Linked DNA regions of Schizosaccharomyces pombe. The gene in region 2 interacts genetically with the main gene of each other region. Each region holds a gene or a part of one and is shown on either strand. Other genes may lie near its edges.

Region 1 (6,914 bases), on a different chromosome or scaffold from region 2:
GCGCGCCCTGTCTCTAAGAAATATGTTTGCTGCTTTGCTTGTCAACTTTGTACGGTATAGTGCATTTTCCTATCACTACAAAGGGTTTAAATACAATTTATAATTATAAACTTTTGCAGTGTTGAAAACAGCAGTTCTTAGACTGATCACCAAAAACATCTATTGGAATTAGAAACCTTGGATAGTAATTTTAAACGAATCGATTCGTGCCTTTTTTTGGTTTATTTTTAATTTATACAACTTTTTTCAATGTTTATTATATAGTGCACGGCGTAATAATACGTATTGTGATTAAAACCAATACATCCTTATCCGACAGTGAAATAAGACGTCGCGTCTACTCAATGCGAACCTGCGCATAACGACAGGCACTATGATCTTTTGCATTAATTCCTCTACTTGTAGGATGAGGACATTTTCAACTATTTTAGGAAGAAAATGAAATTGATATCATCGATCATTTTCGCGCATCTAAAAGGAATGAAAGCCAAAAACTTGCTGGCACGGAATTACGGTTATAATGATGTTCAATTTGACCAGATCAGGTTTTTGCAGGAATTAAATTTTCCTTACTTTCAAAATAGTGATTTTTGTAAATCATTTTATTCCTCTTCACTTCTCTCATTCTGTTCTTCTATCCAGCTCAGTCATCTTAAGACATTGTTTACCAAATAGTGAAGTTTACTGTGTAGTAAGCAAGGATTCGAAAATCACTCTCATTATCGCTATAGTAATGAGTTCGAAAGTTTATCAACCTCTGTGTACGGCCTGGATTACAGGCGAAATTGGGTAGAGAAAAATTTCAATAAACAATGTTGCAGTTTTGCAATCCGCTTTGATTAAAAAATTCAAATTTCAGTTTCCAAGTAGATTAGATAATTCGACAATTTTCTTGTTCTTACTCGAAATGTTAACTACAAACATTGCAAGCTGCCTATGGTCCAGTCCATACTTCCATCGTCCATTCCCTTTCACACTTTATACTTGTCTGCACTAGTCTCAACTCTATGCTGCGTTCCTCTTTTCCCTAGCATTGCATCAAGCTCGGATTATTTTTACAACCTTTCTAAGTCTACGTCTACGTCTACATCTGTATCCATATCTCAATTTACGTCGTCCTTCGCCGCCCGTCATATTACTCTGCTCCATCATCTCGTCCCTTCCCTTCCCTTTCCGCTTTAACCCTAACCAGGAAAATTGTGAAACCGATGGATCGCTCGTCGCTGTGTACTTTGATGTGATTTCATAAACCACCAAACCCTTCCACCGGATCTGTTAAAACCGGTCAAAACACAGTAGAAATGCTGTTGACTTGCTATAAGAAAAAGTGAAAAGGCAAACCACTGGAGAAACGAATCCTCAAGAAAACTAGGTATAAGCATAATTTAATGGAATAAGCATATTTCTTGGGTACCACTTGTCCATCATTTTCATCTATTTATTGTTACTTTTGGATCCGGGTCGTTGGACATGGCAAGATCGCCGTAACCAGATTAGGAATAGAGTTATTCGCTACTCATAGCTCGGCGATAAAGCAAAAGAGAAGAGAAAATGCTGGAGCTAACACACAGGATGCAAATAACAAGAGCAGATATCGTTGCGAGGCAAGTCATGGGAAGTCATCTTGGATGATGTGCAAGTCTCCGATAATAGACCCACTTCATTAGAAAAGCTCATTTTTTGACCCTTCTAGATGAGATAGCTTTAGCATTCATATTACTTATTTTTTTGGTTTCATCTTTTTTTTTGTTTTATCTTATCCTCTTTACCATCCTTCCCTCCCTCCCTCCTTCTCTTTCCTTTTTCTACACACTCGGCTGCGTTACTGTACCCTATGTGTCTCCGACGATCCTACGCAATTGCTACTTTAATGAGCTCGCTTGTGATTCGCTTTTCCTGAATTGCAAATTTTTCCTGCTTCTCCCTTTCCCATCTTTGCGTGCAATGACATCATAATGCTGTCCAATATATAAGAAAGCTACATCTATTTTGAGCCACCTGCAGATAACCAACGTGTTGAATTTTTATACATTCAACCACCAATTCTTGTCCTATTTCACCAGTAGAAAGATATATCGAAATTCTCCCCCCTAGTTTTGAGATTTTCTTTTTCTCTTAAACCTCTACTGGTGAAGAAAAAAATTGTACTTTCTTCACATTCTTAGCTCTGTGTTCTTGGCGCTTTATTTGTGATATTCAGTACGGTTTATTTGTTTATATCTCGCATTTCATTCCAACTTTAAACATCTAAAACGTTCGACTCTCATTCCTTTTTATTTTTTTGTCTTTTCCCGGTCGTTGTTGATTTTTTTCGGTTTTGTTGAGTGAATTGGAATCGCGGCTTCAATAAAAGATAATCATCACTTTTCAGCTTGTTTTCAGTACTCTTTGTGAAATTTCTTTGTAGTACTTTTCAACGCTTTTTTTTTCCTTTTATATTTTTTTCTATATCTAAACTCAACTCTAAAGACCGGTTTGCGGCGTTTTGCTTCTTGTGCTAACAATTTTACATTTAAACAACTTGATCTTTTTCAAACATTCTCTTTCTACAATCTTTACTCATCTTGTCTTATACACACTGTTGGTTGCATACTGAATGGTTGATAGGTTGTTTCATTAGTTCTGTTTCATCTGTTGCCATTGTTAATCTTATACTAAATTTGTCCAAGCAATAAAAAATAAAAGTATTTTTTACAGTTCTTTGTTGTTGGGGTCTTTTTGCGGTTTTACTTTCAAAAATTTTTTCCTTAGAGTTAAATTGTTTATCTCACGATTGATTATTTGACCTCATTTGTCAACCACATCCCCATTCCAAGCTATCTATTTTAAACATTTAGAATCTCTTTTTTTTTTAGGTACCCAAGTTATCGACTTTTTTGTTTTTCCTCTCATTTTTAGTTCCTTCCTTGTACTTGTGTTTAATCATTACTCATCCTTGGATTTCTGCATTTTATTGACGTTTGGTCAAGTTTTCTATTTATTCCCTCTTGTGTATTTTTTCTTTTCCTCTGGACGATAGTTTCTTCTCATTCCTTTCATCATATTCCCTATTCCTGGTAACTCAAATCAATTCATCCTTGTCTGTTTTTCTTTTCCCTTTTTCATTTAAACCTTTTCAGACAGTTTCTTATTTTTTAAATTCTTCATACTTACGGTTTTCGCTCGCTCCTTTAATCATGTCTTCTCCTACTTCTCCTACTTCTAGTCCTGGTCGCCATCATTGGTCAAACTCGAAAGACGGTATGCCGCCAGAGTATACTAATCAGGATCCCAATTCTGATCAAGCTGATAACGAAAACTCTGATGCCAAGGCTCACCAACCTCAGCATTCTCCCCAGCATTCTACAGAAAATCAAGGTCATACTGGGACTAGTGATACTTCGTCCCTGGAAATGGAACTATCAAAGTTGCACCCAGAATCCAAACAAAGGCAGTTGCCGCACTCTCCTGAACATGAGCGATCTCGATCGCCTATTGCTTCTGTCGTCTCATATCGCTCGCACATGACTTTGGAAGATGAAAATCAGATTTTTAATGCCGAAATGGCTGTCCGTGGTTCTCAGTCTTTGCAAAGACGTCCTACCGGCCGAAGTGTTCGCGGATCTATGCGACGCCTTTCTTCCCATCGTTCTAAATCCATGCGTACCTCCAAGTCTAAAAAGTCGGGCGATTATGAACGTACTGCGGAGAATGAAGAAGCCGCTCAAGAGGCTGAGAATCATTTAGACAACTTTGGTGTAGTGACGTTTGGTACTGAAGCTCCTATTAAGGCTCCGGACCATCCTGTAACTATTTTTGGTCGCATATTCAAATTTATTCAACAGCGAAGCTTTTACCTTCGTTCGCTCATTTACATTATTCCTCTCGGGGTTTTACTCTTGATTCCAGTATTCATTGGTCGCTTTTATCACCCACAACCTCCTTACCGTGATGAACTAGGTCATGAATATGAGCGCCATTTACACGTTGGAGGTGTTGATTTGATGTGGATGGCCATCTGGTGGGAAATTATATGGCTCTCTATATGGGCTGCTCGCTATGCTGCCAAAGTAATTCCTTATTTCTTTGCCTTCTTCGTCTCCTTCATCAGTAACAACGTTACTAAATGGAGATGCATGGCAGTTGCCCTTGAGTTTCCTATTACATTGTTCCTTTGGATGTTAGCTGTATATGTCAGTTTCCTTCCCATTATGACCCGCCGTCATATTGGTGATTATGGTGTACCTGATCATGTACGCGTAAAACTCCCTTGGCAACAGAGCGCCAACAATGTACTTATCACTTTATTCATCACCTCAATTATGAATTTGGTGGAGAAAGTACTTATGCAGTTGATCGCCATGTCGCTTCACCGTCGTGAATATGAATCTAGAATCCTTTACAATAAGTTTGCTATTAATGAACTCGCCCGTTTGTATGGATATGCGCGACAGCGTTCTTTTGATTTCAAAGATGCTATCCATCGTGCTCAAGCAGATGTTTTTAAGTTTGCTGATCACCAACATGGCAAGAAGCGCGCAGCAGCTGCTCGGGTTGCTCAGAATGCATTGAATAAAACCACTTACAAAGCTATCTCTGCATTCAACTTCGCTACGGATATGGTTAACAAAGTGGCTGGTGAGATTACTAATCGTGAGGTCGAAAAATCTTCTTCTCCTAAAAGTGTTGTGCTACACTTGTTAAAGACCACACGCGGTTGTCAATCTCTAGCTCGTTGCTTATTTGAGGCATTGGTGAATCCTGAGAATCCCGATTTAGTACTGGATGATTTTATTCCCGTATACACCGATGAAACTGGTGAAGTGGATAATGCCACCTTAGAGGCATGTTATTCTATTTTTGATCGTGATCTAAATGGTGATATCACCTGTGAAGAAATTGAACTCGCATGTGTGGAAATTGGAAAAGAGCGTAAGAGCATTTCTGCTTCACTTCGTGACTTGAACGATTCCATTTCTAAGCTTGATGGTATTTGCATGTTTATAGTGGCTGTCATTACTCTTTTTATTTTCTTATACTTGATTGCCCGTAACTTTAGCGGTGTACTTACCTCTGCTGGAACTACTTTGCTAGGTTTGTCTTGGCTGTTCTCCGGCTCCGCACAGGAATTACTTAGTTCTATTATATTCGTATTTGTGAAACATCCTTACGATGTGGGCGATCGTGTCGATGTCATGATCAATGGCACAGTCACTTCAGCGATGGTCAAGGAAATTTCCATCATGTCTACCGAGTTTCGTCTATTGACTGGAAAAGTCATTCAAGCTCCAAACAGTTTGCTGAACACCCTTTGGATTTTGAACATGCGTCGTAGTGATGGCATTGCTGACCCAGTCACCGTTAACCTGAAGTTTGGAACTACTCTTCAGCAAATTGAACAACTGCGAATCAAAATTATTGATTTTTTGAAAGAAGAGAAGCGTGATTATAAACCTGACTTACTAACTGAAGTTACGGATTTACCGGATCTCTATTCCATGTCTTTGTGTGTTGTATTCTTTCATAAATATAACTTTCAAGACGAGGTTTTACGTATGCGTCGAAGAAATATGTTTATGTGTGCATTGATGACTTATATGCAGGAATTGGATATTGTATCTCCTATTTTCAACAGCCCTGGTAAATCAAAGGATTCACCTATGTATGTCAACTTCAACAATGGTTCAATGGAGGGTGTTAAGTTATCTGGTGGTAATGATGGTGGTGGTACTGAAAATCATCGCGACAGCACTGTTGGCGGAGGAATTCTGAAGAACCCAAAAGCATATCCTTACCGCGAACCTACTCCTCCTGGTAGTTCAGATTCCGATACCGCTAGTGTTTCTAAAAAGCGTGTTGACTTTTCCCTTGGAACACGGCATCTGATGCCTGCTTTTGATGATGTTGCTGATATTGGAAGTAAAAGGCTTGGTCGTGATAGTCTTCCCGATGCTGTCATTGAAAACGCTGGCACAGAGGCCATGCGACGCGAAGCTGAGGAACGTCGCCGAGCCGAAGAGGAAGAGTACGAACGTTCTCAACAAGAATCTAGTTCGAATGAAGAAAACGAAAATGCATCGCGTACGTCAGGTGCTCGTTTTAGCTTTTCCTCTAAAGCTAGTCGTTTGTCGGCTAGACCCAGTGCTCGTACAGTTCCTCCGTTGCAGCATATATCAATTCAAGACTTACGTGAGCCAAACGAAAATAATACTTCTAAGTCTGCTCGACTTTAAATACCCATAACACTTTGCAAACTTGCATCGCTCATGCTAGTTTTACTTACTTCATTCGTTGAAAGTGGCTATTTACCATTTTGGGCACTATTTGTTTCTTTTTTTTAGTTTTTATTTATTATTCTATGAAATGTTTAAACGTATATTGTATCTCAACAGCAAATTTTTGTATTAATATTAGCTATGCCTTGTAAAGTTTCGTAAAAGTTATGCAAATGATTTACGAATAATCTTAAACTAAAACTAGTATAATGCTTTTTTCACGTAAACAATGACTCACCGTCGTAAATTTAGACGTTTCAAGTGCGAATGAACGTTAATAATTGTTCAAAGGTTTCGTTTTTATAATAATTATTTCGTTTTCATAATCGTAATTTTTCACGAAAAAGTGTTTGTGTTTTAGAATGCCAACGAAATTCTCGTAGCGAAACTTCGAGTTTGTTTTAAACATTCAGGAAACAAATAATGATTAAAAAACAAAAAAAAAAAAAACGGAAGGTAAATTTCTATAACTAAGCAAAGATAACTGCAACGATGCGTACTGTTATTAGCAATTATTTTTCGTAGGTGAAGAAGGTAAATTGGAAATTTGAATGCGAGTTTCAACGGCCAAATCATCAGCTTGGTTTTGTGCCTCCATGTCCGGACACATTGAAAACTTGTCATCAGCAGGACTGCATGCCCCTAAGGGTATCGATTGAG
Region 2 (6,234 bases):
CCACGATTGAATGGACTGCTGGTTTGTTGACAATTGCGTTGTGTGTATCAAAGTTCTTAAGCTACTTTCCAGAAATAGTTCAGATCAGATCAATTCCTATACGCGACTGTATCTCTGCCGTACTAGTGTACCTAGTGACAGGATTTATATACACTATATCAGATCTAACCATGAAGTCTGATGCAAAAGGAATTACGAAGACATAACATTTAAGCTTTACACCCGTTACCAGCACATGCATTCATCTCTTAAAGGTTTCGACTATGTATACCACGGAAAACTATTCTAGTTTATGCAGGGAAATATTAGTATGGGCGAAAGATGGATAGAACTTTAATTGATTCTCTAATTGTGGAAGGGGGCACATATGCCCTATTGAAGTCAACTGAAGTTATAATTTTGGCAACCCCAATTGTGCTGCTTACCTCAAAATCGAATTGATAATCTTAATTGAACCTATAAACAAAAATTGGACAAACATATAATCTATGCCAAATTTCACACCATGAATACTTCATGGTGTGAAAGGATGGTTATCGAACGTTCGCATTTTGTCGTCGAATCGCCATCATCGAAAATTAATGTTTCCAGCAGAAATTGTAGTATGAGACATTCGTTCAAATTACGATTTATCTGACTTGCATCGTTCTATAGAGAGTCTGGTTGAACCGTTAATTCAGCTGATATTATACTAATGCACTACTGTAAGAGTGTAAGCAAATTAACTATAATCATGATACTGTACAGGAGCATTCATAATATTTACGAAATTATAATCCTTTGCGATAGAAATACTTTACATATCATAACATTAATATTGGTTGAAAGAAAGAATCACTGTAATTTGTCGTAACGCTAAACCAATTGCCAAATTACATTGCTATTAGCAATCGTAGGAAAACTAATTAACTTGTACTATCCGATTAGTACGCATTAAATGTTTAACTAATTTGTTTAAAACAGCTGTTCTGAAGTCTGAATGTCGAGATGTTGAATATAAATGCAGAAAAGGTTATATAAATATTAATGAATTGAAAATATCCGAGAAGAAGAAAAGAATAGTCTTTTTGTGTCTTTTTAAAAAGATTCAGTTTTTTCTCGTGCTCAGTTTTTAATCCATTCCATTTGCTTGAATGGTTAATTACATTCTTGTCTTCTCAAACTTATTTTCACTACAGAGTTGCTCGATGTATCTTTAAAATGAGTAACAAATCAACTTTTCAACAAGCCATGCCATGATTATTCGATGTACCTGCACAAGCCACAGAAAAAGCAACAGACATGAAGAACACAATTTTTAAGCCACAGGATTTCACATATGTTCAAAATGAAGATTTTTAAAAATCAATTCTGATGTAGATTATTAATGATCTGATTTCACATTGTCCACAAGCAAAGATGTATTTGTTTACTGTTTGTTCTTTGGGTTCAAACACCGACTAAGAGGACCTTGTCAATTCGTTGAAATAAATTTCTAGAATTCGTAAAATTTATTCACTTATGTTATCCTTGAGTGAATACTGATGTTATTTGTTTAATGAAGAGTCATCAAGAAATCATTCATCACCTCATTTATGAAAACTGGTAGCATAATAAAACAATTAAAAACTCATTCATTTCATTGAATTAAAAAAGTATTTGCAAGAGGTAAAAATAAAAGAACATAATTCATTTTTCAATGTTTATTCTATTAAAATCGCATTTAAACCCTCGCTTGCAAAGGACATAAATATTTAAACTCCTGTTCCTCTTTTTCTTTATTTAATGAATAAAGTAAATTTACGTAATAGATGATAATGAGATGTAACTCTTATTGCGTAATGCGCTTACCCGTCTCGATAACTCAGACGTGTACTGCAATCTTATTAGCTATTAAGACCATTACGTTGATGTATCAACCTTAAGAAATTGTGACCTTTAGTAGGTAACATCTTTCCTTTAAGAAGGATGCTCCTACTCACATTTACCACCAACACATATCTAGAAATACTCGAATCTAATCAATCATTCATTTTCCTTCTTCTAATTTGCATTAAAAGAAGTGAGATTAGTTTCTTTATATGAGTCAATTCCTAGATACTCTCATAGAGTGGGAAAACTAGAATAAATCAATCATTAACACACTTGCATCACGAATCCATAAAAAGTTTCAAATAGCACTTATTTTTCGTCTTCATTTTTCCGTTCTTTTTCATTTAGCCCCTCTTGTATTAAACACTCATTTCCTTCTCGTTTGTCTTTTTTTCTTAGTGTGTGCTTAATTCTTTAATTTTTGTTTTACCCCAATTCCTTGCGTACCGGTCTTCCTGACTAACAATTATATCATTCAGGACTCAATTGCTTTAATTTTTTGGTCCCTGACAAATAAGAAAGACGTTTGTAGCGTTTTCCTTTGGCTAATTTATTTTTTTGCAAGAGTATCAATTTTCTCAAACCGTGCTGTGTCTTTTGTTGTTTAAAAAAATTTATAGGACTGATTTCTATCTCTTTTCTTTTTTTTTTCTTGCTCTCTCTTTTAAAAAAAAAAAATTGTTGGATTCCCCCTTCATTTGATATTTTGGTTTAAACCTACTTATTTGTGTTATTTTTCAAGTTTACTACATAAAACCTTGTATATCATTTTATCTTTTCTTTGTTTTTTTCTCTCTCCATTTTCGTTTTTGCAATTATAACTGTTCTTTTCTACTCATTCTTCTATCACCTTCATCATATTATATCCGCTGCATAATATTTATCTTCTGCTCATTCAAATTTTGTATACCCAATCGAAAGCTTTGCTTTCTTATTCAATTCATAATTTAATTGTATTATGAACGAACACCGAAGAGAACCGCATCGACGTTCTGGATACCAAGATGATTCTGCGTTTACTAATACTGAGAAATTGGTCGATGAGCTGGACCACAATGTAGAACCGGAACAGCTCTTGGAAAAAAACAGGACAGATTTTAAACTTATGTATGTTATCGTAAAGTTCTACCGATGGTTCAATAATCTCTCATTCATTACTCGATGGATTACTATTTGGTTTCCATTAGCTGGAGCTCTTGTTATTCCTTTAGCAGTTGGTGTTTCACCGTACCCTAATGCTAAGCTTGGTGGCGTCCGAATCTTTTGGATTTTCGTATGGTTAGAGGTTGCTTGGGGTGGTTTTTGGGTTTCTAGGGTGATAGCACGACTTTTGCCTTACATTTTATATCCTTTGATGGGTATTTTACCGTTTACTATGTACAAGTACACCGTTATACTTACTGCTCTCGAAATGCCGCTCGCCATATTCTTCTGTAGCATTGTCTGTGTTTGTACCTTTTCTCCCATCATGATCGGTAAGGGCAACTTTACATCCACAACCGTCACCACTACTACTAGTGCTACTGCCACTCCCACCGCTAGTGCTAGTTCTAATGCTGTGGAGAGTGTATTTGTCACCAAAACCGCAGCTAGCGTTCCAAGTTGGATTAAAGTCATTACTAAAATCCTTGGTGCAGCCGTTGTTACAAGCATTGTACTGCTCCTTGAAAAGATTTTCTTGCATTTTATCGGATTCCATTACCATGAAGTGCAATATCAGTACCGGATTACGGATAACAAAAGAAATACTGCAGTGCTTGCTAAACTGCTGACTGCTGCTTTGGATGCACCTTATCACGATAGTCCACGAGTCCGTCGTCAGGATTATTTGCTTGGACTCATTGATACCAGATCTATGTCCGAATCTAAAGGCAGTGGAAATGGAAAATTAAGAAAGGTTAAGAAAATATCTAAAAATGCAAAGCGGATTTTTTCAAAAACAAGAAATGCTATTAGCACGGCTTTTACGGATATGCTAGGAAAGCATGCCAAAGATTTGACACCGGAACAGGAGTTCATTCTTGAGACAATAAGATCAAAAAAGAAATGTCTAGCCTTAGCTAGAAAAATTTGGTACTCGCTTGTCCCTGAAGGAGAAGATTGCTTTCAGAAAGAGGATTTGATAGGACTTATTCCCGATGATGAAATTAATGACATTTTTCATATACTCGATAATGATTATAGTCGTACTGTCACCCTGGATGAAATGGAACAATTTACGCGTGAAATTTCTATAGAATTTCGTTCGATTAGCTCCTCTTTGCGAGATGTCGATCTTGCTCTTGGGAAACTCGATCGAGTTGGACTTGGCGTTGTTGGCATAATCGCCGTTCTTACTTTTATATCATTTTTGGATACCTCATTTGCAACGATTTTAGCAGCGTTTGGTACTACTTTACTAAGTTTGTCATTCGTGTTCAGTACTTCGGCTCAAGAACTTATGTCCTCAATTATTTTTCTTTTCAGCAAACATCCCTTCGATATATCTGATGTTGTTATCGTTAACAATATCAAATATGAGGTTGTTTCGCTTTCTTTGTTATTTACGGTATTTCGTACGATGGGAGGATCAACCGTGCAAGCTCCGAATTCACTTTTGAACACTTTATTTATCGAGAATTTACGCAGAAGCCAACCTCAGTCTGAAACGATTACCATTGTTTCACCTTTTGCTACAGATTTCAAACAGCTAGAAAGACTTCGTGATTTATTATTAACCTTTGTAAAGGAGAATGAACGAGATTTTCGCCCTATCATCGATCTTAATGTATCCGATTTTTCTACTTTAGATTCACTGAAATTTACCGTTACATATTATTATAAATCTAACTGGCAAAATGTTTCATTGCAGTGCGTGCGTCGTAACAAATTTATGTGTGCGCTTAAAAATGCGATTGCAACAACGAATTTGCCGGCTGTTGCGGACCCTGTACGCGGTTCCCCTGATTACCCTTTTGTTATCGAACAGTACAATTTGGAAAGGCCGGAATATAGTAAAACTGCTTCACGTCCTCAATTTTCTGATATATCTTCTACTGCAAGTTCGAATTCACTATCTAATAAACCGGGTTTTGCTCATAGCGAATCCAGAAATTACCATACGCATGATGAAGATAATTCTTCTGATGATAATCATAAGAGAGAAGATAGAGGTCATCTGCCTGCCCAGTACCTTCGTCAATCCGTGGCTACTTGGCAAATACCCAATTTAATAAGTGCAATCGAGGCATATGATTCTCAAAATGAATCATCTCAGGAGAATGCTACGTATACGGTTGTCGAATCGAATGGTAATGCTAATGGAGACAACACTGCTACTAATTCACAAGGTGCGACTGATAATGGGCAAACCACGACAAATACTACGCAGAACAATGTGGATAATACACAGGCTACTACTGACAATACACAAGCCAATACAGATAACATGCAGGTAGCGATTGATTATTCGCAAAACATGGATGGCCAAATTCAGTACTAAACTGCTGAATTATGGCGGAATTTAAACTTTTATTTATTTTGTGATGATTACGACCGGTCATGGGTAAATAATATTATTTCAAAACACTATGTACTAATATCCTTGAATTTTAAGGGACTTCTGAATGTTTGGCTGCGATTGTACATTTTATTCCGCCTGGGAAATATATATATATATTTTTATGGAACATGGAGTTTAAAATTCAGTTTTACGTTACACGCTGTTGACTCTCTTCATTCAATCTTCTCCTATTATTCATACAAATTTCTTTTTTAACTTAAACAAAATATAATGATTTGATAGTTATAAAGACAACAATTATATATGTATTTGTATAACTAAAACAAGGTATTCGAATTAATATTCATCCAACTGATATCCGTGAAGAAATACTTTACTGTGGCACATTACGTTGTACTACATTAGCGTATATCTTTCACCTTACTCCTAATCTTTGACTCCGTATTTGTCAGCTACGCAGTTTAGTATCTGTTTTAAGGGTACGTAAAGCTGCGGTGAGTTTTCCTTGTGATCTATTATATTGCAATACGCAAGTAATATAAGTAGCAACTGAGTATAGGTATCGTATTAACTAGGTTATAATGTTACCTATCACTGATATGGCTTATAACTGAACTCAGGAATGAGGTTCAGTTGTTCTCAATTTATAACCATTTGAAACAGCAAGAATCATAACTGACAGTTATTCACCTTATTACAACTAATATTATATATGTCTTGATAACTTATCATGTAAAGCTGATAGAGCAAATAGAACATTATGAACATGTGGCATATAGTGATTCATAACGTAGTACATTATAGCGTAGTTTAGTATAACTGACAGTATTCAATAAGCAACTTTGCGCAGTTGTACATAGTGTACCATAAGCGGAGTTCCT

Evidence for each region. A genetic interaction does not mean that the proteins touch.
Region 1: of msy2 (region 2) and msy1, changing one enhances a phenotype caused by changing the other (phenotypic enhancement), as found in Schizosaccharomyces pombe (2 studies listed by BioGRID).

Annotation. Positions count from the first base shown.
Region 1 is NC_003421.2:616,848-623,761, forward strand, and holds msy1 (MS ion channel protein 1), read left to right. Parts: upstream 1-2,000; 5' UTR 2,001-3,176; coding exon 3,177-6,212; 3' UTR 6,213-6,375; downstream 6,376-6,914. Other genes in the region: transporter mug73, read right to left, coding at 6,760-6,914.
Region 2 is NC_003424.3:4,287,499-4,293,732, reverse strand, and holds msy2 (MS ion channel protein 2), read left to right. Parts: upstream 1-1,971; 5' UTR 1,972-2,809; coding exon 2,810-5,332; 3' UTR 5,333-5,724; downstream 5,725-6,234. UniProt on the Schizosaccharomyces pombe protein: Regulates intracellular calcium levels and cell volume for survival in response to hypo-osmotic shock. Involved in maintaining vacuole integrity and protecting the nuclear envelope upon hypo-osmotic shock.